2 linked regions of the Drosophila melanogaster genome follow. The protein of the gene in region 1 purifies or fractionates together with the protein of each later gene. This does not show direct contact. Each region holds a gene or a part of one and is shown in the gene's direction. Other genes may lie near its edges.

Region 1 (12,845 bases):
AAATCTTAGCTTCATCTGGCTTATCACAAATTTACGCATTCTTCACCGGTAAATATTTCACGCTTGATAAAATATTTAAAGTTTTAATCAAACCTAACCCAATATGGCATAGTCTTGTTAATATTTGTGCGTAGTATCTTTATTTTCGTAGAGCTTTGTACATTATGCTTTCCACTAAAAAAATAGTTAATAGTAGAATATAGAAAACATTTGTGGAATCCCATATATACATGTGGTTATTGTTGTTTTTTAATTAACCCAAAATGTCAATATCATGTGCTGTTGCTAATCCTCGCATACGTTTTTAGGAGCTGCCTCGAATCTGGTGGGGAATAATGCCAGCAACGATGGAAGAGGCATATCACAAGCTCAGACGTCCGCAGGCACATGCGAGACCAGCTTGAGTACGCAGCCCCCAGCGGGAGCATCACGCACAGGAGCCAACGCGACGTCAACAGCGGCATCGGGAAGCAACAGCAGCATCGCAGGTTCCACCCTAACGCTCTCCGCCCAGTCGAACACAACCACCCACTCGGCGAGCACTCTGCACGGTCTGGATGGCGGCCCGTCGACGGGTGGTTTCAACTCGGAGCCGGCGTCCCTGGACTCGGTGGCCTCCATGGGAATCATCGCCAGCACAAGTGGCACCGAGCGATCACGCGATCTGGCCCTATGTGCTGTGCTCATGGACGAGTGGCTTAAGGAGCTGGCTGCCATTGCGCAGGAGCAGAGCGTTGTGCTGGTCACGGAGCAGGGGTCTTTATGATCGCTTGGAACGGAAAGCTTGTGTATACATATTTTACGGATTTGTTAGCCCTTGTTTGTTTTAACCAGCTACTCTTACGAAATTATTCTTTTTACCTGTTAAATTTTCGATATTTATATTTTAAAAAACAACTTTTAACGAACAATGCAGTTTTGAACAGATTTACAAGTTAATGCACACGGACTCAACTAAAAAAAAAAAAGAGAAACACTCAACGCGTTAAACAAATAGATTTAGGTTAAATGTTTTAAGTGAATCGGGACGGTGGATCTTAAGTGTTCAGATGTAAACAAATATTCTAATTACCAGCCGTACGCAAAATTTACAACGTTTATAGAGAGAATTATATAACACACATACCATGTATACATATGTATTTTTGCAATATATTTTATGCTTTTATGTATGCAAGATCAAATTACACAAGTTATGTAAAGCCAACTTGAAAGTATTAAATTGGTCCAAGTAAATGCACAGCCAAGAAGATTTAGTTATTCTTATTATTAGCTTAGGATTTCAGGTTTAACGTGAGAGCCAATTTTATAACATGGCAACCACCAGAGGAGTCAAAGGGACTCACTGGGTATACCTTCTTCTGGTGCGACACGTAAACGCACAGTTCATTCTGCGCAAGTCAGCTGAAGCTGGAGGAGCTGCCTGCATCGGAAACACAGTTTAGGTTTGAGGGCCATTGGGAGAACTGCCTTTGGGGTGTGGCGGCGAAATACGATGATAATTTAGGCGCTGAAATTTAGCCAAAATGTTTTTAAATAAAAGTGTTTCTTATGAAAACTTCAAGCCAATATATTCAAGATTATACTTATTAAAAGAAGCAGGCAAGATAAATTTCCGTTTAGATCGTTAACGGAAGAGTTTGAATTTGAATATGTACTAAAATAGAAGTTGATCGATTGATCGATTTATGCCCACACTTTAAACCAAACACATTCCACTCCGATATCTTAGTCGAACACAAACAATCGATAGTCGACAGCACTGTGGATGGTTGAACGCATCTCTAGAAATCGGTCGCTTTCAGTCACAAAACTGCGATCGTTGCGATCGTTTGCCGTTCAAAAAACGTAAAAGTGCGCATCGCCGGCTGAATTATTGCGTTGTGTTTATTTTATTGTTAAATATCGCATAAATTATGTTATACTTTTCCCCGCCCTGCACTCGATACATTCGTGTTGGCGACTAATCACACCGCCCGCATTTTCGCAAACTTTTTGTTCTTTAGTTGCGAGTGCCGCTTGAGTGTTTGTTAAGTGCAAGGGGAACACCGGCTGAAACCGCCTTTACGGGATTCTAGCCAACCGAAAATAGTTCGCGAAACGCAGCAGGCGACGCGTCTTTTTGGCTCTCGAAAAGGGCATGAAAACTCGCGAACTGTGGCCAATAAAAGATACATACAGGAAAAAGCGATTGCGCGAATTCTCGGCTGCGTGTGCGCTGCAAATTTGCTCGTGCGGAGCAAAAACAAACGAAAATAGCCGGATGAACAAATACATCCAGTGCGAAGAATAATCTACGCTGTATAAACAATTAGCCGCAAAACAAACGGCGGAATCGAGTGCCCCTGTGTGCCAGTGTATTGTGTGTGTCTGTGTGTATCTGTATCCCTGGAATGCGCAGTCGCGCATGCGCAAATATTTGTGATTTGTTTTGAAAGGAGAGAAGGAGCGAGAAACAGAGATAGATAGAGAAACATAGAGAGAGCGCGCGATCGGATTGGAATAAAAAAAAATAAAAGGTGAGTTTTGCTGTTAGATTGGCAATTGCAGCAACTGCAGTTGCCTTGGCCTAAGTTGCCATTTTCCCTGCCCACGTTTCTCCACACAATTAATGTACAGTGCAAGGAACTATTTGAATAACATACATGATAACTCACTCACAAAAAGTTCAATTCAGGCTCTTCAGCTATTGAAAAAACATTGAATCAATACTTTTTTACGTGTACCAAGCCCACGTCAGTCGACTAAAAATCCATGGGCCTCGGCCCACGGAAAATTAACTCATTGCCCCCTCTTTTCCCTTCGATCCAGAAAATTGCTCTATTCTCCTCGGGAACGCCCACTTTGTCAGCGCTACGCCCACCTTGCCCATTTGTTCTTCTTTTGTCTCTGGTCTTTTGTCTTTTCCCTCCACGGTGCGCAAACGAAGGCGGGTTTTTCCTCCACTTATCGCTCGGCCACTACGGCCATAAAAGTCCGAGTAAAAATCAATTTTCAAAACAAGCAGGACAAAAACAAAGGAACGAGCCAGCGAGGCGGCAAGGGGGCAAGAAAGGGAATATCGGACGACAATAACATCAATTTTGAGGCATTTATATGCGCCAATAAATTCAACAGTTGCTTGCTGGTGTGAGTGAGAAGGAGAGGCAGCAGGAGCGATGGCGATAGTATCGCATCCGAGGAAAGCAACAAATAACAGGCAGAAAGATACACGACAACGCGCAACAATAAGACACAAGATCAAACAAAACCAGCAGCGAAAACCGACCACGCTGCAGCATCGCCGTTGCTTTTGTTGTTGCTGCAGCAGTTGCAATAGCAACAGCAACAACCACGCCGCATGCAACAGGTAAAAGCAGCGACGCCACCGTTTCGAAACGAAATGCCCGCAAGAGCGAAAGAGATGGCGCCGAACAACCTGTTACATCGCCCGCTGCCTGAAATATGTAAAGTCAATTTCGTGTATCGGAAAACTGTAACTAATGCCAGGCAACAGCAGCAGCAGCATTAACCCATTAACGCGAAAGGGAGAAATCGGCCAAGAAATGCAAATGCATTGTCCATGGGTTAAATGGAAAGGCGGGATGGTGTAGTTGGGAAAACTGCTTGGCCACATACCACAAACAATGCAACAGTCAGGCATCGTTTGAATTGGCAAAATGTAAATAGTAATTAATATTAATACAATTATTAACACTATTACTTCTCGGACAAAAAGTATGTTTCCTTAGGGGTCTAAGTTGAATGTTTAATATTACTCATTTCTTTAAGCCTTCATCCGAGTTGGAATCTTTTTGCGGTCATGAGGCTTTTCTAAAGTATCCACAAGAATCTCCTCCTGACTTGGCCCGGCATCTTAATGGGTTAAGATCCGCGCCCGTGGGCAACTGAGGCCAAGTTCGTTGTACGCGGCGGCAAATAAAAGACAGCGCAGTCGAGTAAGAAATTTTTGTCAATGAAAGAAAACTTTCTTTTGGGCTTATCCACGCCAACATCGCCGCCGGTCCTCCGTTCACTCTTTCGTTGTCTGTCCTCCTCGCCGGTGATTTTGTTTTGTGTGTCGCCCTGCTCTTTATATTCCTATAAGCACCCATCCATATACGTATATCTTTCTGTTTAATTGGGCGGTTTCGAGATTTACGCGCGCCTGCCGCCATCTGCAGAATCTCTTTGGAGTATAATGATCTTTTGGATCTCTACGTCTCCGCGGGCTCCTCTTCATGGTCCATTAAGACAATTTAGCCTGGCTTCTCTTTTCCGGGCCTTCGGGACTCGGCCATCGGATGCGTGGGAGTGGCAGGGGCGGCATGGGAGTGACTGATGCGTGGGAAGCCTCGTCTGTTTGTCATCTTGGGGCTGCAGGTTTGATTGCTTGCGAGCCAAGCCAGGGCAGACCAAGCCAAGTCATCCAGCCATCGAGTGTCCAAGTTGGCGCAACAAGTGTCCCAGTTTGTGGAACGGCTAGAAGCCAGCTACTCGAACTAGAACTAGTTTAAGTTTCCTGTCCCGGCAGCCATAGCTGGAATCTCCTCCACATGGTCACATACTTGCATGCTTATAGTGGCGGTGGAAATGCTAGAAGTAGGTTAGTTTAAATGCTTCGCTTTGCGATCTGTGGATAAACACGTCTCACAAAATCGTATATCATACATATATCCCAAAAATTATATAAACGCCAAGATTATTTAATAAGAGATCAGAATATAATATGCTATATAAGACTTATATTATCTTTGAGTGACATTTTTGGTGCTATTCGTTTGAGCGCAACTGTGACTTTTCTTTTAGGCTCGGTCATGTTGACTCTTGCTGCCGTTTCTGCGGTCGCCTGGAGGAAACCCCCTTTTGGCCAACCTACTCCCCTGTTATTAACCGTTTGGCCACATTTTCTCACACAGAGTGCGCAGAAATACTTGGCAGGCCACTCTGGCAATTGGCGCGCCTCTGGAAATGACAAACGGTCATGAGCATGTGGCTCCGGCCCACGAGGAAGCACAAGGGGGCGTCTCGAGCAGCTAGCAGCTCCACTAAATTACGGAAATCTAAAAAAATATTCTAAGCATTCGCCGGGAAAATTGATTTGGAATAACTGTATCAGAATGCTCTAATATAAAAAAACAAGTCTCGTCTCGGGATGCTATAAATTCCAGAAATGATCGAAACGGAACCGGTTGAAATGTATGATAAGTGATCTATAGATCGACATATCATGTTTTGAGCATGTAAATCAGATAAAAAAGACCGCAAATGATAAGTGCAAGTCTTCTTTATGGAACATGATCATTATAGAATTCCTGTAATAAACCAGTAAGTTATAATTAGGTAAAAGATGCAATGATAAGAATTCTAATCTATTTCCTCTACGACCAAAAAAGATATGCCAGATGGGTTCTACACATATCATTGTAATTGGCAATGATCCCATTCGACATAAATGCCGAAGGAATGTAAATGAGACCAGTCGATTGGAACTGCCATGAGATCATCAAATGGCCTCCAATCGCATGGAATCCGCTTTGAGGGGTGCTCCACTTGGGATTCATTAGGAGGCCCCTTCTTTACTTTCAATTCGCTCTGCTTCTGGCCAAAACGTTCTCCTGTTGGCCCAAAACAGCCTCACGTAACTGTAACTGATTTGACCTCCCATCACTTAGCTACCAAAAAAACCTCCTCCAAAAGCGTCGTTTTTTTCCGCCGCTGCTGCCGTTTTGGCATTGTGAATGGTTATGGTTACAGTGGGGATTGCGGATTGGGGCTCGAGATCTGGGCTGGGGGACTGGGGCATCCGTGGTATCAACGGAACCGAGTGGCGGCATTGGGTCTGTTTTGATGCTCGTTTGGCGGAGCGGTGCGACCTCGACAACAAATTTCTATTGCATGCAATTTGGTGAATATCGCATGCACAAATGAACATTAACACTTGGCGGAGACCCAAGAGATGAACAATAATAATAAAAAAAAATACCAAAAAACTTGTTTGCTCAACAGAAAGCAGTGACAACAAACATATTGGTAAATAAATGCAAACCACAGATGACGAATGTGGCATACACTATAATAGGAAGTATTTAGTTAGCCTATTTCGAAAGAAACATCTTGTTTGAAGATAATTTTTAAGTATGGAACTTAAATGCTATGTTACACAAATTAAAGTACATATTGAAGTTACAATATTGTGCAAATGTATAGAGTAGTTTCGTGTGCCCCTCCATTTTCTAGGGTATTAAACATCAAAAACGGCAGCCAGGCGGCAGAGCATCGAGTGAAAAAGTGCGCCTAGAAATTAGAAAGTACGCGGCGGTCTGGAGGAGAGGCTCAATCTGAAGTTGGGGCTGGAGCTGAGGCTGAAGCCAAAGTCAAAGCTATGGTTATAGCTATAGACAAAGTCGAGGCGGTGGGTATGTGAGTGTAACTCGATTTGTGACTGTCATAAATGGCGGAAATTGTGGGGCTCGAGACAAAGCGGGCTTGGGGGACTGGGGACCGAAAGACGGAGGCTTTCTGGCTAGCTTTCTGCTTTCTACTGCCGGCCTGCCGGTCTTCAGCCGCGGCTCTTTCCAACTCCAAGCTCCAAACTGCAGCTCCAACTTCTACTCCAACTCCAACTCCGGCTCCGTTTTTCTTTCTTGCTTGACTATAATTTGTGCCATCAGCATTTTGTTGTCGTTATCGTTAGTAGAGACCAGAAGACTGTGAACTGAGCTGAAGACTGAAGCCAAAAGACAGAAGACAGCAGACAGGCGACGGCAATGAAGCGTACGTTTTGACATTTCCCCAGCTCCGCCGAAGCCTCTCTCTTTTCGCTTGCTCTGGTCTCCATAATTATCGAAGCGGAGAAGAACGCGCTGCCACAATTTGGCCAGATTTTTATTAATTCCCACCTTGCGCCACCACCCTCCCCTTTTGATACCCATTACTCGTAGAGTAAGTAGGAGGCTATTTTAGATTCGATAAAATGTATGTAACAGGTACTTTCACTAGCTGGGTACCGGGTATCCGATAGTCGGTGAACTTGACTATAGCATTCTCTCTTGTTATGACTTATTCAATTCGCCACCAGCCGCAGAACAGCCTTAATATAGCCCCAACCCAATCGACGCTGAACCCAAGAACCGGCTCAAGTTCGCCTCGATCTGCGTTTATTATTACACTTAATGTGACTTGATTTATAAACAAGAGCAGCCTCCAACGGTGGACCAACCGACCAACCGACCAACCGACAAACCACTGGTCACCTCACCTCTTGCCCAGCTGTTGCGAGGAGCAGAAGACAGCAGATCGACATGGCTCAGTGACCAAAAGGAACACTGGGGGAAATTTGATCTGATATTGCAGCTCTTGCGTTTTTTCAATTCTCCGTCTACCAACTGAATTGTTGCCATGTATTTATTGAACTCAGTTGGTTGGTTTTCAATACATAACGTTATAGTTTTTCCCAGTGCACATACCGCACTGGTGTTGGGTTACTCCAAATATTGCCCTTTTCATCGCCGCCCGATAGGAACTGTCTTTTAATTAGTTCATAAATTCAGCGTGGAAAAGCTGAAACGCAGTTTCACCTCCGATGTGTAACACTTCCACTTCCCTTTCCAGTACCTTTCCAGAATCTCTCGCTCTCTTTGGGCTAAGCCCACCAAGTGGCTTCCTTCCTGGTCCCGGGTCTTTCAATAGATCGTTCAATCCGGAAGTTTGTTGCGCTGGCGCAGACAAAAGAAGTGCGGCACTAAGCGGCTTTTGTGCCCAAGAAAGGAAATAGAATTCCTACCGCGCCCCTTCCTTTTCACTCGATCAGTCGAGTGAGAATCTCAGAGTCATTTTAATGGTTTCCGCTTTTTATGGCATTGCCCGGGCCTTATGATTGGTACAAAATTAATAGAAATTTAATTGGAGGGGCCCGTGGGGTCGGGGGAAATTGGTTCTTTAGGCATTTATTGCGCATGCGCGCAGCTTTTCTCGCTGTCGCTAATTGTTATTGCTCTGGGTTTGTCGGACTTCGTAGTTCTTTATGGTTTCTTCACGCTCCGGTCTTTGTTTTTTGTATTATTTTTATGTTTAACTAGACGTGCGGGAGGTTAAAGCGTGCTAATGCTTACATAATGCTTTGTTTTCGGGCCTCTTTATTGTTTCCACACCGCCCTTCTCACGTCCTATTCACCTATTTTCACGTCTTTTGTACGTGAGGTAGGCCCAGTTGGGCGGAAGGGCGAGAAAGTCGAGGACATTTTAGGGCCCTCATAAATTATCATCTCGGGTTTCGTAATCCCATGGCATAGGAATATGATGAATAGTCCCTGTTCCCATTCACAGTTTGATCCAGTTCCTTTCTGTGCCTTTTATGACTGGGAAAAGTTGAAGATGGTACCAGATAACCTTTTATAGGTATAAATCAATGTGTGACTGTGATTTATATTGATTCAATTGGGATAATTTGGTCTAATTTGTGACCTTCCTAGGATTGTTCTTTCGGAGAACCCCCTACGGAAAGAAATATGTGCAAGTGCTTGGTTAATATTAACAGCTAGCATCCTCAATTATCCCACTTATATGCATTATAACAAACATAACCTGATTTATTTACCATAAATTATGTATCACTGTCACAGATTAGATTAGTCATGTAACTTCACAATACTCAGGCTGAATTCTTGTCGAATCCGAGCATATATAATTGATTACTCCGCCCACACTTGTGGCAACCTGTAATCTCCAAAAATCACACCATATGGAGCACGCGCTCTTTACCGCCCACGTTTATTCAAAATTTTTGGGTATTGTGAACTATGTGGAGATTTTGTGTTTTGTGTTCTCTAAATAAAGCCATACAAGACAAAAAATCGAAAGTAGCTGGCCAGAGGAGTTCGAAAAGAATTTCAGCAGCCCGAAAACTAATGAAATGCCAGAGACAACAAAAGAATTCAAACATTAGCATACATGAATTTATTCCCCTTTATTAATTTTGTGAGGTTAATTTATGTGGAGAGAGAGGAGGCATGATGAAACAGAAATTTGAACCGAAGAAATGTTTAGTTTTGCTGATGAAGAATGTTTTTTGAACCGCCTCCAGCCCGATGATAATTAAATATTTGTACATATGAACTTTACTGGGTTACGGGGCCAACAAAAAATGTCTGTAGACTATGGTAAAGAGCGGGGAGGGGGGGGGACTCTAGTAAGTCCGGCTTGATTTTTTGATTTTGGGTTTTTATGTTCTCGCTTTTGGCGAGAAGTCGACTTACAAGTCACTTCATTCGATGCTGGCCTTAAGATTAATGTTTCCCCGTACGCCGGCTCTTGGAAATTTGCATATTCCGACAATTTGCGGCTTGTTGTTCGTTAATGTGGATGTTGTAACTGCTTGCAGATAGATCCCCCTTTTAGATTTTTGTGTGTTTCAGAGGGCGTGGTAATGAGTTCTCACCGAAAGATTCTCGTTATGCGATAAATTCGAAAGTTACCGAAACGATTTTGGGTTTTCATTTGCTGGCAAAGTTTTTTTTTGTCCGTTTCGGGTAATTTACATGCATAAACAATTTGCACAAAAGTGTTTGCCGTTGCCTGGGAGTTTCGCGCATGAAATGACCAAGTTTATGGCAATCGACGGGCGGTCGGAGGTGCACAAAACCCGGAGACCCGAAGACTCGGAGACCCGTCTACCCGGCTGTCGTAAAAATCAAATATGCGACGCAGACTTGACACAAATGATACCCATAAACCATAACAACGTAGAGCCGAGAAATGGAAGTTGTATTCCGGCGATTGAGGGATTGGCGAGAGCTATGGTTTCTCGATTTGAATTCGAATTTGCCCAGGGAGTGGCTCTATTCAGGTTAATTTTGAGTCGCTTCGATTAGGCCCGACTGAATGAAATATGGATAGGAGACCTCCAGAGTTCCACTAGCTTTGCAACGTAATCTACATATTAATTCCGTTCAGAGTTTTATATACTTTTTATTTTGTTCAGCTCAGCACATAATTAAGCAGATTATTGGCCATTAGACCCCTGGGGATCGTGTTTGCGAGAAGCTATAGAAGGGAGTAGAGAAAGCACGACAAAATTGTATAAAATTATGGTTCTTTGATCTATATAATCACCTATCATCATCTAATTGTTTTGGCTTGCTTAGGTGTAAATTTGCCAATGTTTATATCTATATCTATGTTTATCTTTAAAAATATTCCGCTTTTTCTTTGTAATTAACCACAAGTTACAACTTTTTAATCCCTTATCGTAAAGCCTTTCTTCTTTCCATTAGCCAGCTGAAAATTAGAATTCCCACAGCTGTTTGCTGTGCTGGAGCTACTGCTCCAGTTTGGAGCTTTTCATTAGGAAAAGCCGCCGCATTGGTAGTCAACTCAACCCCCACCGACACAGTTTTGACTTATCGCTTAACCTTCACTCAGTTTTAACTCTTACCTACCGTCTTTTGTTTTCCTGCCTCTGTCTAACTCGTTAGCTTTTTGCATTGTTAAGTTTTTGTGTCTTGCCTACTGTGCTACACACGGCACTTTAACTTGGTGGCTGGAACATGAAAAAGACAAACTTGTGGGTGGCCTCTTCGTGAGCGATTGAAAATTAGAGTCAAATCATTTTTGACTTTGTCTATAATCGTATGGCGTATGCATTTCAAGCGTATCCATTTCTATGGCCCCGGATTGAATTCTTTTCTCAGAACTCCAGAGCCAGAGTGAGTGTCACGTGCAACATAATCGTCTTTCGATGGTTACAAATCTTCTCAGGCCGAGCCCGTTGATAAATGGAACTTCAGGCCGAGGGGCGAGTTTGTGTCTTAAGTCTTTTGAATGGCGGTGGTGCGATGTGTGGATCCTTTTGTGTCTGCGCTTCATTCATTCGTTCATTCGTTCATTCACGAACATTTTCGCTTCATTTCTTCCGCCAAAGTTTCTCACTTATTTTATTTTCTTCGGAGCCAAAGGCAAAGTCATCTGTATGACTTAATGTCGACGCCGACAGCGACGCTTGTCGTTTGTCATTCAATCCGAGCAGCGAAGGCGTTTGATATATACTCGTATGTATGTAAGTGTATGTTCCGCAGGCTTTCCCCGGATTTTTGTGGAGCAGCGTTTGAAAAACGATACATGGAGACGGGCTGTTACGTTGTACCACGCGTTTTCTGGTGCGTGCAATGCAAATCCGCAGCCAATTCCAAATCCAATGAAGCGTGCAGCCCCGATCCGGAGACTTTCTGTACTTACCTTACCATATTCTTATGTTTCGATGTGGGTGTGCAGGTTTGCTTGTCGCATTCGCCATGGCTTGTGGGTGGCCAAGTGGAGTTGGCGTCGATCTGGGGAGGGATGAGGGGGAAAATAACTGTATAACCATGCGCCATTTCCTGTTGTAAACTATATTCCATTTCAAATAAGGCTCTTAATTACTTGGGTTATGTCATTTCAGTTTCAGTTTATTACAACTAGAATTTCTTGTTTGCACTACATTAAGTGAACTAAATTTTGACCATTATTATCAGCACCCTCCTGCAAGTGGCTGGAATCATTGCTCTGGCCTACTTCCCTGCGATTCAGCATAGTGCAGTACAACAAGAGCCTGTGCCTGCCTTTTCATCACGGACTTCATTGTCTGGGCGCGCGGTCAGTTTGGGATTGTTGTTAAGTAAGTGTACTTAACCCACATGACTTGCGGTTTTGCTTGTCTCAGTGCGGACCAACAACTTGGTTTCTGCCCGTGGCTGTCATCACTCGAAAAGGCCAAAAAGCTGTCATTGCCTGCGATCTGTTGAGTTGTGGCCACAGTGCGTATACGTATGCGTGCGCAAAGAGATTTCTTAACCTTGAGTGACTTTGAGCGTTTCCCAACCAGCCAGCCATCCAATCCAATCCAATCCATCCATACGTCCATGTTTATTTATGCTCCCCCTTTGGCTCTGCGTTTATTAACCAATTTTTTCGCTGATTGTATTTTGGGTTTATTAAATTACTGATTGCACGTGTGCGTGTCCGCGTACTTGACTCTACGCTCATTTCCTTAATTAAACACTTGTTTCACGGTCCGTTGGCCAATCCAAGAGGTATTTCATAAAAATAAAAATGCCAAAGATTAGCAAAAAAAAAAAAAAATTCAAGCTGATGAAGCTCATTTGCAGAAATAATGATCCATCGGCAAAAAGTGATTAAATTCAAAGATTATGTAAAGGCGATCGACAGCAATTTGCAATGGCTAGCAACCGATTATCAAGTTCACTAGAAAGTTGCTGCATCATTACTTTTAAAGAGCTAGCTTTGTGAAAAAATAATGATACGATGTTGATTTGTTGAAAAATATCATTTAATTTTTTTTTATTTACTGCTTGAGTAAAAGTACCAAAGTAATAAGTTAACCATATTTTCTTTGCATTTATGATATAAGATCCACTTCCTTTGCATATCGTGCTACCAGTTTTTGTTCTGACCATCTTGTTGCGTGTAACTTTCAGTTTAACCCTTCAAGATATTTTCTATTAACTTGGCTTATATCTGGCAGTTGCCATCTATAACAAATAAATTCATGGCTAGACCCATTAAAAACTTATTATGCTTTTTGTGTGGCACTCCGGTTTTATTGTCCATTGTCGGGAGCTGGAGGTTGCGGGTTCCCAGTCTCCCAGCCGGGGGAAGCCACCCACAAAGTGGTGGGAAAAGTAATTTTCATAATTTTGCACTCCGACACCTTCACCTCCTTCTCCTGTTTGAGAATCGGAAGCCCCCGGGCATATTATTCTCGACTCGTTGGAAATCCACATTTACATGGAGCTGGGCGAGAGCTGTGAGCTGGAACCCCTTATTAAAATGGCACTAATTATGGCAATTTGTTATTGGCCAAAACGAGC
Region 2 (12,845 bases), on another chromosome or scaffold:
GTCTGGTTGGTGTCCACCGAGGAGTAGCTATTGCTGTTCGACACCGGCGACATGTCATTGTTGTTATTATTCACATTTCCGCTGCTCGTATTATTGTTGTTATTGCTGTGCGCAAAAACGCCAGCGGGCGAAGGTTGGGTGGTGGTCACAGCAGCGGCGGTTGCAACAACCGGGTGGTGCTGGGGCTGATAGGGCTGATACTGCAACTGCAGCGATGGTTTGGCATGTTTCGGCCGCCTCTTGGCAACTGGAGCTGAGGTCTGCTGTTGTGGCGGTGGCAACGGCAGTGGTGCCTTCTGCTGTTGTTGTGGTTGCGGCTGCTGCTGCTGTTGCTGCTGCGGTTGTTGTTGCGTTTGCGGCTGGTGCAGCGCGGGCGACGTGGTTGTGGGCGTGGACCCGACAGAGGGCATCCATCATCTTGTATCCTCCGTTCCACTACTGCTGTCATCGGGCTTGACGATTTGGTAGGTTATCAAGTACTCCGGATAAGACTGCAAAACCATAACATACTTGTAGCATTACTGAACTCGCAAAGATTGTATGGAATTTACCTGTTCGCCCCGATAGACAACGTATTCGGCGAAATGCAAGCCACCCGCCGAGGGTCTGCCCACCACCGAGTGGTGTCCCGGCGGTGCATGGGCCATCTTCATTGCACTGTATTGCAAGAAGGATTTGCCTAACGCCACTCGGCACAGCAGCAATTGTCTGCAAATTTTGGAAGAAAGGGTTGAATGAGTCGGAAGATCTTCCCAAAATGATTATCAAATCCTTACCTAGGACACACGTAGCAGGACTTATCCTTGTGCGAGGGACAGCCAATGCCGCCGCCAATTCCGTACACATACTGGTTGCTTTTCGAGCTATGCTCGGCGAAATAAATGCCAGCCCCAAACATGCCGCCAATGTAGGCGTGGCGCTCGTCGAATCCGCGTTGCACAATTGCGTTGATGAAGGGACTACCGTGGAAGAGCATACGCTCGTTGGACTGCAGGAAATTCTCCTCGGCGATCTCTTGCCGTCGATGAGCATAACGCTCCCACAGCTTTCGATTTTGTACCTTTTGCACCTGTTTTTATGACAAACAAATATTTTAGATTGGAATTCGGTTTACCATTTTGGTAAAGACTTACCCGAATGATGTTATATCGAGTGAAATAACCTCCAGCCTGTCCATTATCACGATGTTCACGAATCGTGGCCTGCATCTCCTCCTCGACGGCCACAAACTCCTTATCGTCCGGCAGCAAGTCCACCAACAATGTGCATAGATTCACGTTGTTACCAATGCCTTGGGTGAAATGAAATGATTTTTCATATAACTAACTTATAAATGTTTTCATATATTCACCTGTGGTGGACCTCAGCTGGGCGATTCCCTTGAGTATCTTGTGGCGGAAGCCGTAGGCGGAGACGCCCACCTGCTTGAGATCGTCGTGGCCCATCTCGGCTAGAATGTCCAAGGTGATTTGTTCGCGCTCGAACAGTTCGATTAGATGATGCAGCTGCTGGCTGCTTAGGAATCCGGACACATTTGTTATGGTATCCGCATCCGGCAGTAGATCATCCGAAGAGGAGCCCTCAGCCCCATTGGCCTCTGCTCCTTGGGCGGGACTGATGCGCGTGCTACTGGACAGTGGAAGTGGAACAGGAACACTCAGAATCATGGAGGCACCGGTGGGCAGCAACACCGTTTCCGTGGTGGGCGATAGGATTGCGGATGAGGACGATGAAGATGTGCCCGGAGCCGCAGCAGCAGTTGCATCTGGTGCCGGGGAACTGCTTGTCAGCGATTGCGTGGAAGCACTCAACGCCTGTTGACTCAACGAGGTGGCCATCGCGTCCTGGAGCAAGCACTTAACATCATCTGCCGTGGCCAACTCAATGGGCGTCTGCCCCTCCTGGTTTTTCATATAGGCATCGGCACCGTGGGCCAACAAGAGCGAGCACAATTGAGTGCGCCCCTTCTGTGCAGCCTCGTGGAGCGGTGTGAATCCCCATTTATCTGTCGCATTGACAACCGTCTTGTGCTTAATTAGCAGTGCCGCAATATCCAAATGCCCATAGCTGCTGGCATTGTGCAGAGGTATTAGTCCCCCCTTGTCCTGTGCATTAACATCGGCTCCATTCTCCAGAAGGTACTCGGCACACTCAAAGTTGTTATATCCGGCGGCCAGGTGAAGTGGTGTGGAATTCCTGCCCTGCGCGTCCCGGCAATTAATGGATTCCGGTGTAACCAATCGCTGTACCCGTGCCAAGTTTCCTTTCTTTGCTGCGTCTAGCAGAGCGGACGGTCCTCTCAGCAGCTCTGCAACATCGTGATCAGATTCCTTAACCAAATCCGCTGGTGTCGCGCCATCCCGATTCTTCTTCATTGGATCAGCGCCATGTTTCAAGAGCAGCTTGCAAATATCATACTTTCCCTTGGCGGCAGCTTCATGAAGAGGAGTAAACTTCCACAAATCCGATACATTTACATTGGCTCCGTGCTTGACCAGCAGTTCGGTTACCTCATAGTGCCCATAAGAGCAGGCATTGTGCAGGGGCACCAGTCCGCCCTTGTCAGCCGCATAAACCTCGGCGCCGTGTTCCAAAAGAAACTGAACCACTGGCACTCTATTAAACCCAGCAGCAAAGTGCAAAGGTGTGGAATGTCGTCCGTCCAAATCCCGGCAATTGACCGAAATCGGATTGTTGAGCACTATACGGCGCACAGTGTCCAGATCTCCCGCCTTGGCTGCCTCCAGTAAATGTGTCTCACTGTCCGGAGGATTCTTGAGCAGCTTCAGCACGCTGTCCGAGGCCAATTGAGCGGCCGTAAGTCCCTCAAGGGAAACGATATTCGTGTCCGCTGCGTACGAGAGCAGCAGTCGCACCGCTTGCTCATCACGGGCGCACCGATGCAGTGGCGTTTGTCCAAGACTGTCCAATGCATTAACCTTGGCGCCCTGCTTTAGCAGCACCTCCATGGCATCGTAGTGAAGCAGCTCGGCAGCCAAATGCAGGGGCGTGAGGAAAGCCTTGTTTTTCTCGTTCAGCAAGGATCCCTTTCTGGTCAGCAGTTCCATCAGCTGCTTGCGCTTCCCATCCGGACTGACAACGGCCAGGTGGAGCGGAGTGTCTCCTGTATATGGATGCACGAAGTTAACAATCTCTGCGCATACCAGCTTCTTGGCACGGGACACATCACACTTTCGACAGGCGTCCAGCAGGCAGTGACCCTTGTATTCAACTGAAAAGTAATATGAATGACGTTAGAGCTAAGATATTTAAAACGCAGACAGCTTATAACTCACAGGCAATCCGCTCTCTCAGCTCCCTGGTGGGCGCCGCATCGATGGCCGACTTGCTGTGGCAGTTTAGGAGGGTGGGATCCGCTCCACGACTGAGCAGCAGGCTGCAGACCTCGACGCGACTTTTGGAGGCGGCCTCGTGGAGCGGCGTAAAGGCCCACAGATCGTTGGCGTTGACATTGGCGCCCGCCTGGATAAGCAGCTTGGTCACATCGAAGTGTCCGTAGGAGCAGGCATTGTGCAGCGGCACCAGACCGCCCTTGTCCTTAGCATGTACATCCGCTCCGTTGGCCAGCAGAATTTCCACGATGCCGATCCGATTGTAGCCCGCTGCCAGATGGAGCGGCGTTGAGCGTCGTCCATCGCTGGCATGACAGTTGACATTGAGTGGCGTGAGTAGGGCCAGCAGGCGATCCTCGGCCCCCGAGCGTGCGGCTTCAAGCAGCTCATCCTTTCGATATTCGCCGGTCAATACGGGACGCGTCGCCTCGTCCGCCAGCTCCAGTGGTGTCTTCTGCTCCGAGTTGCGGATCGTATGGTTTGCGCCATGCTGCAACAGAGCCAGGCACACATCCACCTTGCCCTTGCTGGCCGCCTCGTGCAATGGCGTGTAGTTCCAGTTGTCGGTGGTGTTTGGACTGGCACCTGCCTTCAGCAACAATCGAACTACCTCGGCGTGGCCAAAGGAGCAACAGTTGTGCAGCGGGTGCAGCCCACCCTCGTCACACGCCTGTATGGAGGCGCCGCTGTTCAGCAGGAATTCAACCACTTCCCGGCGTCCATAACCTGGTAAAATAAAAACGAATAGGTTATTAGATGAATGTCATGTATTGGTCGATGGGAAAGCCCTACAAATGAGCGAGAAGGTCTTGCCTTCGGGGATTTCAACCTTGTCCATGGCATACGAAAAGAAAGATATGTTTTCCGCATTTGCAGAACTGTTGCCCAAGGAAATCTCAAAAAAGTTTACATTAGCTTATGTTCAGTTGAAAGTAAACCTTACAATTAAATGATAAATAATCAAAATAAGTCGCATAATAATCAATATAAACGGATGACAGTTGTGATGATCCAACCGAGCCCCCGATTTATAAACATACTTTTGGCAACTTTTGCATTGTCAATGCCAGAAATCTGAGTCATCTTAATAGGGTACCGTAATTGGTCACACCAGAGATGATCAACATAAAATAAATGTTTATGATCGTACTTATTGCTACGTTTATAATGAACTGCAAAGAGAACCGGATCGAATTACAAATCTGGGCAAACAAAAGCTTGAGCCACCCACCAAAAAGTGGTTTGCGAAACGTTTGTGCCGTTCACTTTTCTGTGGGCAAACAATTACGAAAGTTTTGCATTAAAAATTAATAGAATGGAAAACTTAATTCCAACTGTTGCACTTGGAGCGTCAAAGCGCCAATTGCTCGCCACTTGGAAGTGTGATCCTTGGGACTGTGAACAATATATGAATAAAAACTGAGATATATGTATGCAATTTCAACTTGATTTGCAACTACCACCCCGAAGGTTAATTTGCACAACTTTTTGGCCAGCGATAAACGTATGTTTTAAGTATCTCGAATATGGCCAAGATATGGAGGGGAAGGTCTCTCCGGGTTTATCGACTATATTTACTATATATATGTACACACACACACATAAATGCCATGATAACGGGCCAATGTCAGAAAATCTGATAGTCGCAAAGAAGCGAAGTAAAGCGATTGCGTTTTACTATGTGTCACGATTGCGGGAAAGGAAGGAGGAAACGTGAGCTCCGTTTTGGTTTCCACCGCAACAGGTATTGTAAAACTTCGAGTGGCCAAAAATGTCATACATTCAACGAGGTGAAAAGCAGCCGCAATAAAATATATATAACTTAAACGCCACCCGACAATAACAGACCCCTCGAAGATCTCACTTTTTGTGCACAGAACGTGACAAAAAGACAGACGAACATAATAATGGAAAACCAGTTTATAGAAAGAAAGAAAGACCCACCGCCAGATAATAAAAAGTGCTCAAAACTTAAAAAAAAAAAGAAGTCACAAATGGCCAAAAGGCGAAATTGATATGCAAGGGGCGTCGAGTGAAACGGTTAGAAAAGCTTGATGGCATTTTTGGGGTATTGTTCGAAAGGGGTGAATGTGGATGGGGGATGGGGAAGGGAAAGACGTTTCTTTCCACTTTTGATTCGATGCTGCCGACTGACTAAATAAATCGCAATGCATAAAATGCTAACTAGGCCAAAGTCACAACAAAAGACGCGAAAATATTGAGCCAAAGACGTCAGCAGGATGGCGCATACAACGCAGCAGCCACAACAAGTCGCCCCACTGCCCACTGCCCCGCCCACCGCCCACTATCACTGTCACCCCCACAAAAACAGACACAATAGCAGTCGAAATAATAGTTAAAAAACATGCATGCTTGTATTACGAAGGATTAATCATTTGATCACTCACAGTTGAAAAATGTAAATAAAATAAATATGTTAGCACGAGTTATTTTGTTTACCCAATCTAATATTTAAAGGCCAAGCATCTAACTAAACCCTGCGAAACAGGTTAGCTATACAATCAGACCATATGTTGCAGACCTTTATCTATGGGATTCTACGTGTAAACAAACAAAGCTAATCAGATGATATATGTGTGTTAAACATTCAATTTCCAGTGCTGAGACAGTGAAAGCTCTCATTGAAATGGCTAATTATGCAGTGCTATTATCTCGACCGCAGCTGTATGAGTCTTTTTTGAAAATAGAAAATGCTTAAATGCAGCACGCACGCACACATGCAGCGGCAAAAGGGGCAGCACGGGGGATTCCCCTTTTGAGAGGGGGTCTTCCGGAAACAAGCCAAACATATAGAACACATAGAACGGTGGTGGAAGGAGAAGCAGAAGCAGAAGAGGAGGCAGAGCCAAAAGCAGAAGCGACATGGAAACTAGGTCAACTCTCGACGCCATTGGAGCAGGCGAGTGTCCGACCGAGAGCGACGACAATGACGCCCGTCACACCCAGGCGCAACTAGCTCAAGGCCAAATCCGCACTGCAGCGGGGGGTTTGGGCGAGTCCTTCAACCTTTCGTTGGGCGAATGGTGGGGTGGGCTGCCGTTTTTAGACCGTCCTTGGAAGGGATTTGGATGGGATCTAACCGCATCGCATCTCACTTACCCGCTGCGAAATGCAATGGTGTGGATTTGCGTCCCGCCGTATCCCTGGCGTTCACGGTCTGAGGCGTTATTAGCTTCTTCACCTTGGCGATCTCGCCCGTTTTGCAGGCCTCGAAGAGCTCCCTCAGCGGATCGTTGGCCATGACCGCATCGAGATTAACGCTCAAAATGGCCCGACTTCGGCTGCTGTTGGCCATTGTTGTGCTTGTTTGCTACGCTTTGGCACACACACGCCCCGAAAAAAATAGGCAACAAAAAACAAGCGCAATATTCAGTGGGCTTTCGGGTTTTCCACTCCCAGTCCAGTTCTCTCCTCCAGCAGTTGCTCTGCCCGTCCTACACAAGCCTCGCCGTTGTCCGTCGCTGGCTTGCCCGCATCCTGTATCCAGGTGTCCTGCCTATGCCGCAGGAGCAACAATTTGCCACTGGCTGCCACGCGACCAGCCCTCGTTTTTGCTTAATATTTAATGCACAATTGCAGACCCAAAATCAATAGGATTTCTTTGGTTCGACACAGCACGGTTGCAAGGATCGCGGTTGGCTACGATTCGTTTTTACTGAGACTGCGACCAACTCTGGGACTAGCTCCCTGGTACTTGGCCTCCAAAGCTCTGGGCACGGACGATTATTTCCGGATTAATTCACTGCTCCGCGAAATATTGCATTGTTTTGTGACCGAGTAAGAGTGACCGTTCGCGGGGTGGTCGAATATTCCAGGTTGAGTCAAGCGGTGTGACCAGGCGACGGGGCAAGCCATTCTGAAAAAATACTGAAGTCCTCGAATCACATAAGCTTTTCCATTAATTATATTTTTTAAATTTAATAGCTTATGTTCTCACAAGGTTTTACACAAATTTGTGCTTCAGTGTGCACTCACTATTTGGTGAAAAGCGAAAAGACGTTTGCATCTATATTGTGTTATAAGAAACAATTTTTTTTGTTAACCAAATAGACAATATTCAATTGGTGGTACAAAAATTAAGATCATCATTTTTATGAGCTTAAATTAGAATTCTTAAATTAGAAAAGGCCATGTAGGAATTTCAATTATCCTAATATAAGCACATAAGCCTATTACTAGGGAAAAAATCTCAAAAAAATTTTTTAAAATAATAGCAAGTACCTGTTACAACAACATGCAATCCCAATTGGCATTGCTATCGATAGCTTGAAAAACACCTGTTTGGCCATCCCTGGTTGGCTGTTGGTGCAATCGATTTTTGGCATCGACTGGATGCCCATGCCAACAACAATGTTTGCTTTTAAAATTTAGATTAAATCCGTTAAAAATCCGTGAAATCAAAACAAAAGCAGTGGAGCTGCTTCACAACAAGATTATCGTGCTTACTAGAAAGTGAAGAACCACGGAGTTACCGCGCCGGAAGTACAAAAGTAATCACCAAATCGGAAATCCGAAAAGTGAATCAGAATTTTTCTAGCTCACACACACACGCGCGCATACCCGCACGCCCAGCAAACACTCATGCAAGCGTATGGAACCAGTCGTGTTGTTGTTGTTGCTGTGAATAAGTGCAAGTGAAGAAGAAGCAGAAACTGTGATCGGAAAATTAAGCAAAAAAGAAAAACAGGCGAGGAAAAGTGGGGTTGGGGAAAAGCAGACGGAAAAGTGGAAAGGCGGAGTGCAGCTAACACGCTTCGCTGGCTGCGCGACAGCAGAACGCCAGTCAAGCGCCAAAAACCATTAGTAGAACCCCATTTCCAGCTGGAGCGGCACAAGAAAGCAATTTTCTGGTAGCAGAAACACCAAGAAACGAAAATAATTGGCCGATCTTTAGAGACTCGACTCGACGACAATTAGCCGGAATGGAGCTGAAAGTTTGGGTCGAGGGCATCCAGCGGATAGTTTGCGGCGTTACAGTGAACACCACATGTCAGGTATGTGAGCTACAGCAGAGGTCAAAATAATAGCACTATTATCTTGTTAAAGCATTTTACACTGCTGCAGTGCTGTTAATGTGACCCGAACTGTATGCGCTCTGTTTGCTAGTCAGTTTGCCCTAATTATCGTTTTATTTTCCACAGGATGTGGTTTTTGCTTTGGCCCATGCCACTGGAAAAGTGGGCAGATTCACTTTAATCGAAAGGTGGCGCAATAACGAACGCCACCTGGCCCCCAATGAGAATCCAATGAAGCTGCTGCTCAAATGGGGCGAGTATGCAAATGATGTGCAGTTTATATTACAACGTTCGGAAAACAAAACACAGCAGCAGCAGCAGCAACAACAACAGCAGCAGCAGAACAATAATAATAATAACAACTATGCTGTGATGACAACAACAAAAAAGCCGCTGGGGCCGAACAACAATAACAATAATAAGCCAGCGCCCACTTTGCTAAAGCAAAAGTCGAACGTCGAACTCAGCTACCGCACAAAGGAATTGAAAAAAAGTTTCGGGTGGGTGGTTTTTATATGCTAGTTAGTTTGGAAACTACCCCTTAAAGCGCTTACCTAGCCCTAATTGTTAATAGGCTAACAAACTGTGTTTAAATATGCACCTGTGCGGCTACCATCAACTGACAAAACTTGTCTCTTTCAGGGGCCACGATGCCAAGCAGTTTGACAACATTGGAATCGTCAAGGGAATTCCGCAGCAGCAGCAATTGCAGTCACAACAAACGGCCATGGGAGCACCGGCGAGTCCACCACAGGAGCAGCTGACACCGCAGGATAACAATAATGTAGCACCACTGGTGCCAAAGCATGAGAAATCGCTGTCCAATCCGCTGGACATGACCAGCACGGGTAGCAATCCACCCGCACCTACAAATGGCTACAATGACTTCTACAACAATAACAGCAGCAGTAATCAGCATATATACAGCCAGCTGAGCAAATCCAGCAATGAACTCCGACGCTCCAGTCCCAACGAAATGTACTACAACAATAATAACAATATTGTTAATAACAATAACAACTCACCGGAGCTGTACAAGCAAACGCCGACGATTTCCGCGAATGGAGCTCTAGTCCCACCACCATATCGTGACCCGCCACCCCCGAGAAACAGCCCCATGTGCCAGGGGCAGCGTTTGGCCAGCAGCAATGCGGACACCATGTCCAATGCCTCCTCCTCGACGAATCCGTTTCTCAGCGACTACGATCAGCATAGCAGCCACAACACTAATAGCATCAACAATAATAGCCAGGCCATGGAGGAGGGTGAGCCCATGTTCCAGACCACGCAGTATAACGATTTGCTGCAGCTCATCAAGTTTCAGCGGGAGAAGATCACAGCCCAGCAAATGGAATTGCAAAAGGTACAAATATTCAAGTTTCTAAATTGATTTGGAATGTTATTATTTTATTTTTGTTTTATCTGCTTAGTTCGATACGGAAATAGTTTATTTGGAGAGCAAAGAACGCGACCACGCCCACGAGTTGGATGCTATTTCGCGTGAGATTTCCAAGGCGGATCAAATCTTTCGGCAAGGAAGCGAACAGCTCCAGACTCTGCAGTATGTGGAAGAGGAAAACGAATTGGTCAAGCAGCAAGAGAAGACTTTGAAATCAGAAATAGCTCTACTGCGATCCAAGCTGGCCAATTGCGAAACAGAGCTGCTACAATGCAAGAACAAAATGCGCTTGCTGATGGATGACATTGAGCTGGAGCAGCAACATCAACAGCAGACCAATAGGTGAGTGCATAGCAATTTACTTGCTTTGTTTTAAGTTTTTCACACTTCTTGGTTGTTTCAGGCAAACTGTGGAGCGAGACTTCTTGATGGAAATGGAGCGCATTCAGAGTGAAATCGACCAGGCTCTGCACAACACTGACACTTCAAACAAAACTGCAGATAGTTTAAAGAAGGAACTACTCATGATCGAGCATGCCATCGCGGACAAGAAGCGGCAGGTGGAGCAGCTGGTCAACGAGATGAAGGAGGTGAATTTGCAGAGCCTGACTGTGACCACCACGGAGGAGATCAAGCATCTATTGGAAGGACCCAACAAGCAGGGCAGCAGCCGGCGGATCATCGGTTCGCCCAGGCAACTTGAAACGGCGGTTCCAACCAGTAAAAATCCTCATGGTGTGTGGGTTTAAGTCACACATACCCAGAACTATTTTTCTAAACGTATTTCTCCTCCAACAAAATAATGTTTTTGGGAACAAATTGATCAACATATCTTGAATGCATAATGGAGTTGAAACGAAATGGATTCCTTATGAATATCACAATTTTAAACAATATTCTAAAAATATTTACAATAATTAACGTGCTTGATTGTTGTTTTAGTATGTTTACATTCCAATCACACTCTATGGATCTCTCAATGCAATGATATATGTTACAAATTTGAAATCACAATCGTTTTATTACTCTACATTCCGCACTGTACTTTGTATTTAATAGTAGTTAATGAGTCCCATATTCACATGCCCTAATCTTAATTTTGTGTGCTATACTTTTGGTTAATTTTTGCTGCTAGTCTACGTGTTAACAAAAACCCTTTCCAATCTCTACAATTCGCCATTAGTTGTTAACTTGACAATGAATTTTAATTGTTGCAATAATTCGAGAGTATCGTAATTTAAAAACGCCTTTCTAACGAATAAGTAGTGCCCTTAGTGATTTGTCTCCTACAGAATTATTCATTGTAGAATTCACAATTCGAATTACACAAAACTTATTGTACTTAGCAATTAGCGCAGCTTTAAAAAAACAAATTAGCAATGCTTTGTTGAAAAGTTTAACTTTTAAAGTGCTTAGCCTTAGCCACCGGATATCGAAACAAAAGACCGAAGCATTAACAATTGCAAAGGTATCAAGCATTAGTACATACATAATTGCTAGCGTACAATTAAAAGACAACCCACAAGTCGCTTTGATGTATTATGTTTTTAATTAGCAATATTTAATATTTACACAAACTGATGATGATAGTGAACTACAAAACACCAACGGAAATGCAATTTATCGAATATTATATATTACTATTACATTTAAACTAAAAACGATTTAGAACAAATTGTAATTGCATTACATCTAATTAGCTAATAAATACATTTTTATGATTTTCTCGAAACGAACTGTCTGTATTTACATTTGGTTTTGGTCTTTTGAAACACCACGAATTTTCCGCAAATGAAATCAACGGTCAGCCCGAAGTCCTGTGCCACACGAAGCTAGCTGCTCGGCCGCTTTTCTTGTGCGGAGGGAAAAACAAAATCAGCAACACATGCTGCCACCAGCTTCAGTTGGCCGCTGTGCTCGAACGCGTTTGGTCCTTTTGTCCTTGTCGATATCCTTCGCTCGCGACTCAGACTTCCTGGCGAAGCGCGCGCTACTTTCAATTTTCAAAAAGTGTCGCCCAGTGAACGGGTCAGTGAAAGTGGCCCGTAGGAAATAAAGAGGCAAAGGAGCATACATTTGAATGGTCCGTTTTTGGGGGCATCCTATCGCATTGACACAATCGACAAAGTGGTCGAGGGAGAGCGTTAAAGTGGCCCGCCAGCAAAAAGGACGAAGGAGCGCTCCGTTTTTATGGCCCTCTTCCACACCAAATGATGTTCAATTGCGATGATTGCGATAATGAGAGTCCCAGTTTCTCTGTTTTGGGGATCATGCATCGCCGAGACAATGTGACCTTTTGCGGAAATTATGATTTGTCTCCGGCTGACCTTGAGCCCCCCCGCTGGGCGATGTAACCCCCCCCCCCCCTTGCCGCCGACTCAATTAAGCTAAATTTAATCAGCCGGACAAGAAATGCTTCGGAAAAGGACCCTCTAATGCCGGTCACATATTGCACTTCCATTTCGTAGTACATTTGGCAAACCTATAACCTTGAGTTTGGCTTAATGTCTTGCATAAATTGGGGAACCAAGTGGCTGCTTAAAAATAGAACCATTCCGACTGGAGCCAACTAAAATTATTCATTTCGATTTGCTAGACTCAGCGGGGCGAACAAGTATAGCCAATCTTTATGACTTCCTTTTAACTTATATCTTGGTTTTTTCTTGCATCACAAATTTTAGTTATTATAGCAGCTTTCAGACGCGTGAAATAATACTTTTAATAAATTTATATCCCCAATAACTTTAAGCCGTCTGTGAAACTTAAGCCCGACGTCTGTCAAAATGGCGCTTTATGCATATATTTTTTATGGACACCAAATCAATTTTATCCAGCGCTGAAATCGAAACCCCACCAAGTGGAAAGCACTTGCCATCCGAAATATTAATTTTGAACTCCCGCTCCAGCTCCCAATCCTCCTTCCGCTTCATCAGCTGTGTAATCCTGGCACTTAAAACTCTTCTCCGCGAGCTGTGAACATTAGCCAAATGAAGTGACAAGAAATTAACGCAAAAATAAAACAAGAAGACGGAGCGGTATAAGAAATAATAATATAAA

What was found.
Region 2: the proteins of Ccdc85 (region 1) and RASSF8 purify together in Drosophila melanogaster (affinity purification with western blotting; one study listed by BioGRID). This does not show direct contact.

Annotation. Positions count from the first base shown.
Region 1 is NT_033779.5:2,997,483-3,010,327, forward strand, and holds the start of Ccdc85 (Ccdc85), read left to right. Parts: upstream 1-1,803; 5' UTR 1,804-2,519; intron 2,520-12,845. Other genes in the region: CG3558 (uncharacterized protein), read left to right, coding at 10-48, 309-766.
Region 2 is NT_033777.3:25,654,119-25,666,963, forward strand, and holds RASSF8 (Ras association domain family member 8), read left to right. Parts: upstream 1-7,676; 5' UTR 7,677-8,296; coding exon 8,297-8,368; exon of another isoform or gene 8,369-8,515; coding exon 8,516-8,889; intron 8,890-9,031; coding exon 9,032-9,752; intron 9,753-9,819; coding exon 9,820-10,130; intron 10,131-10,191; coding exon 10,192-10,537; 3' UTR 10,538-11,522; downstream 11,523-12,845. Other genes in the region: Tnks (tankyrase), read right to left, coding at 414-491, 552-708, 777-1,069, 1,134-1,291, 1,352-3,232, 3,297-4,079, 6,474-6,669.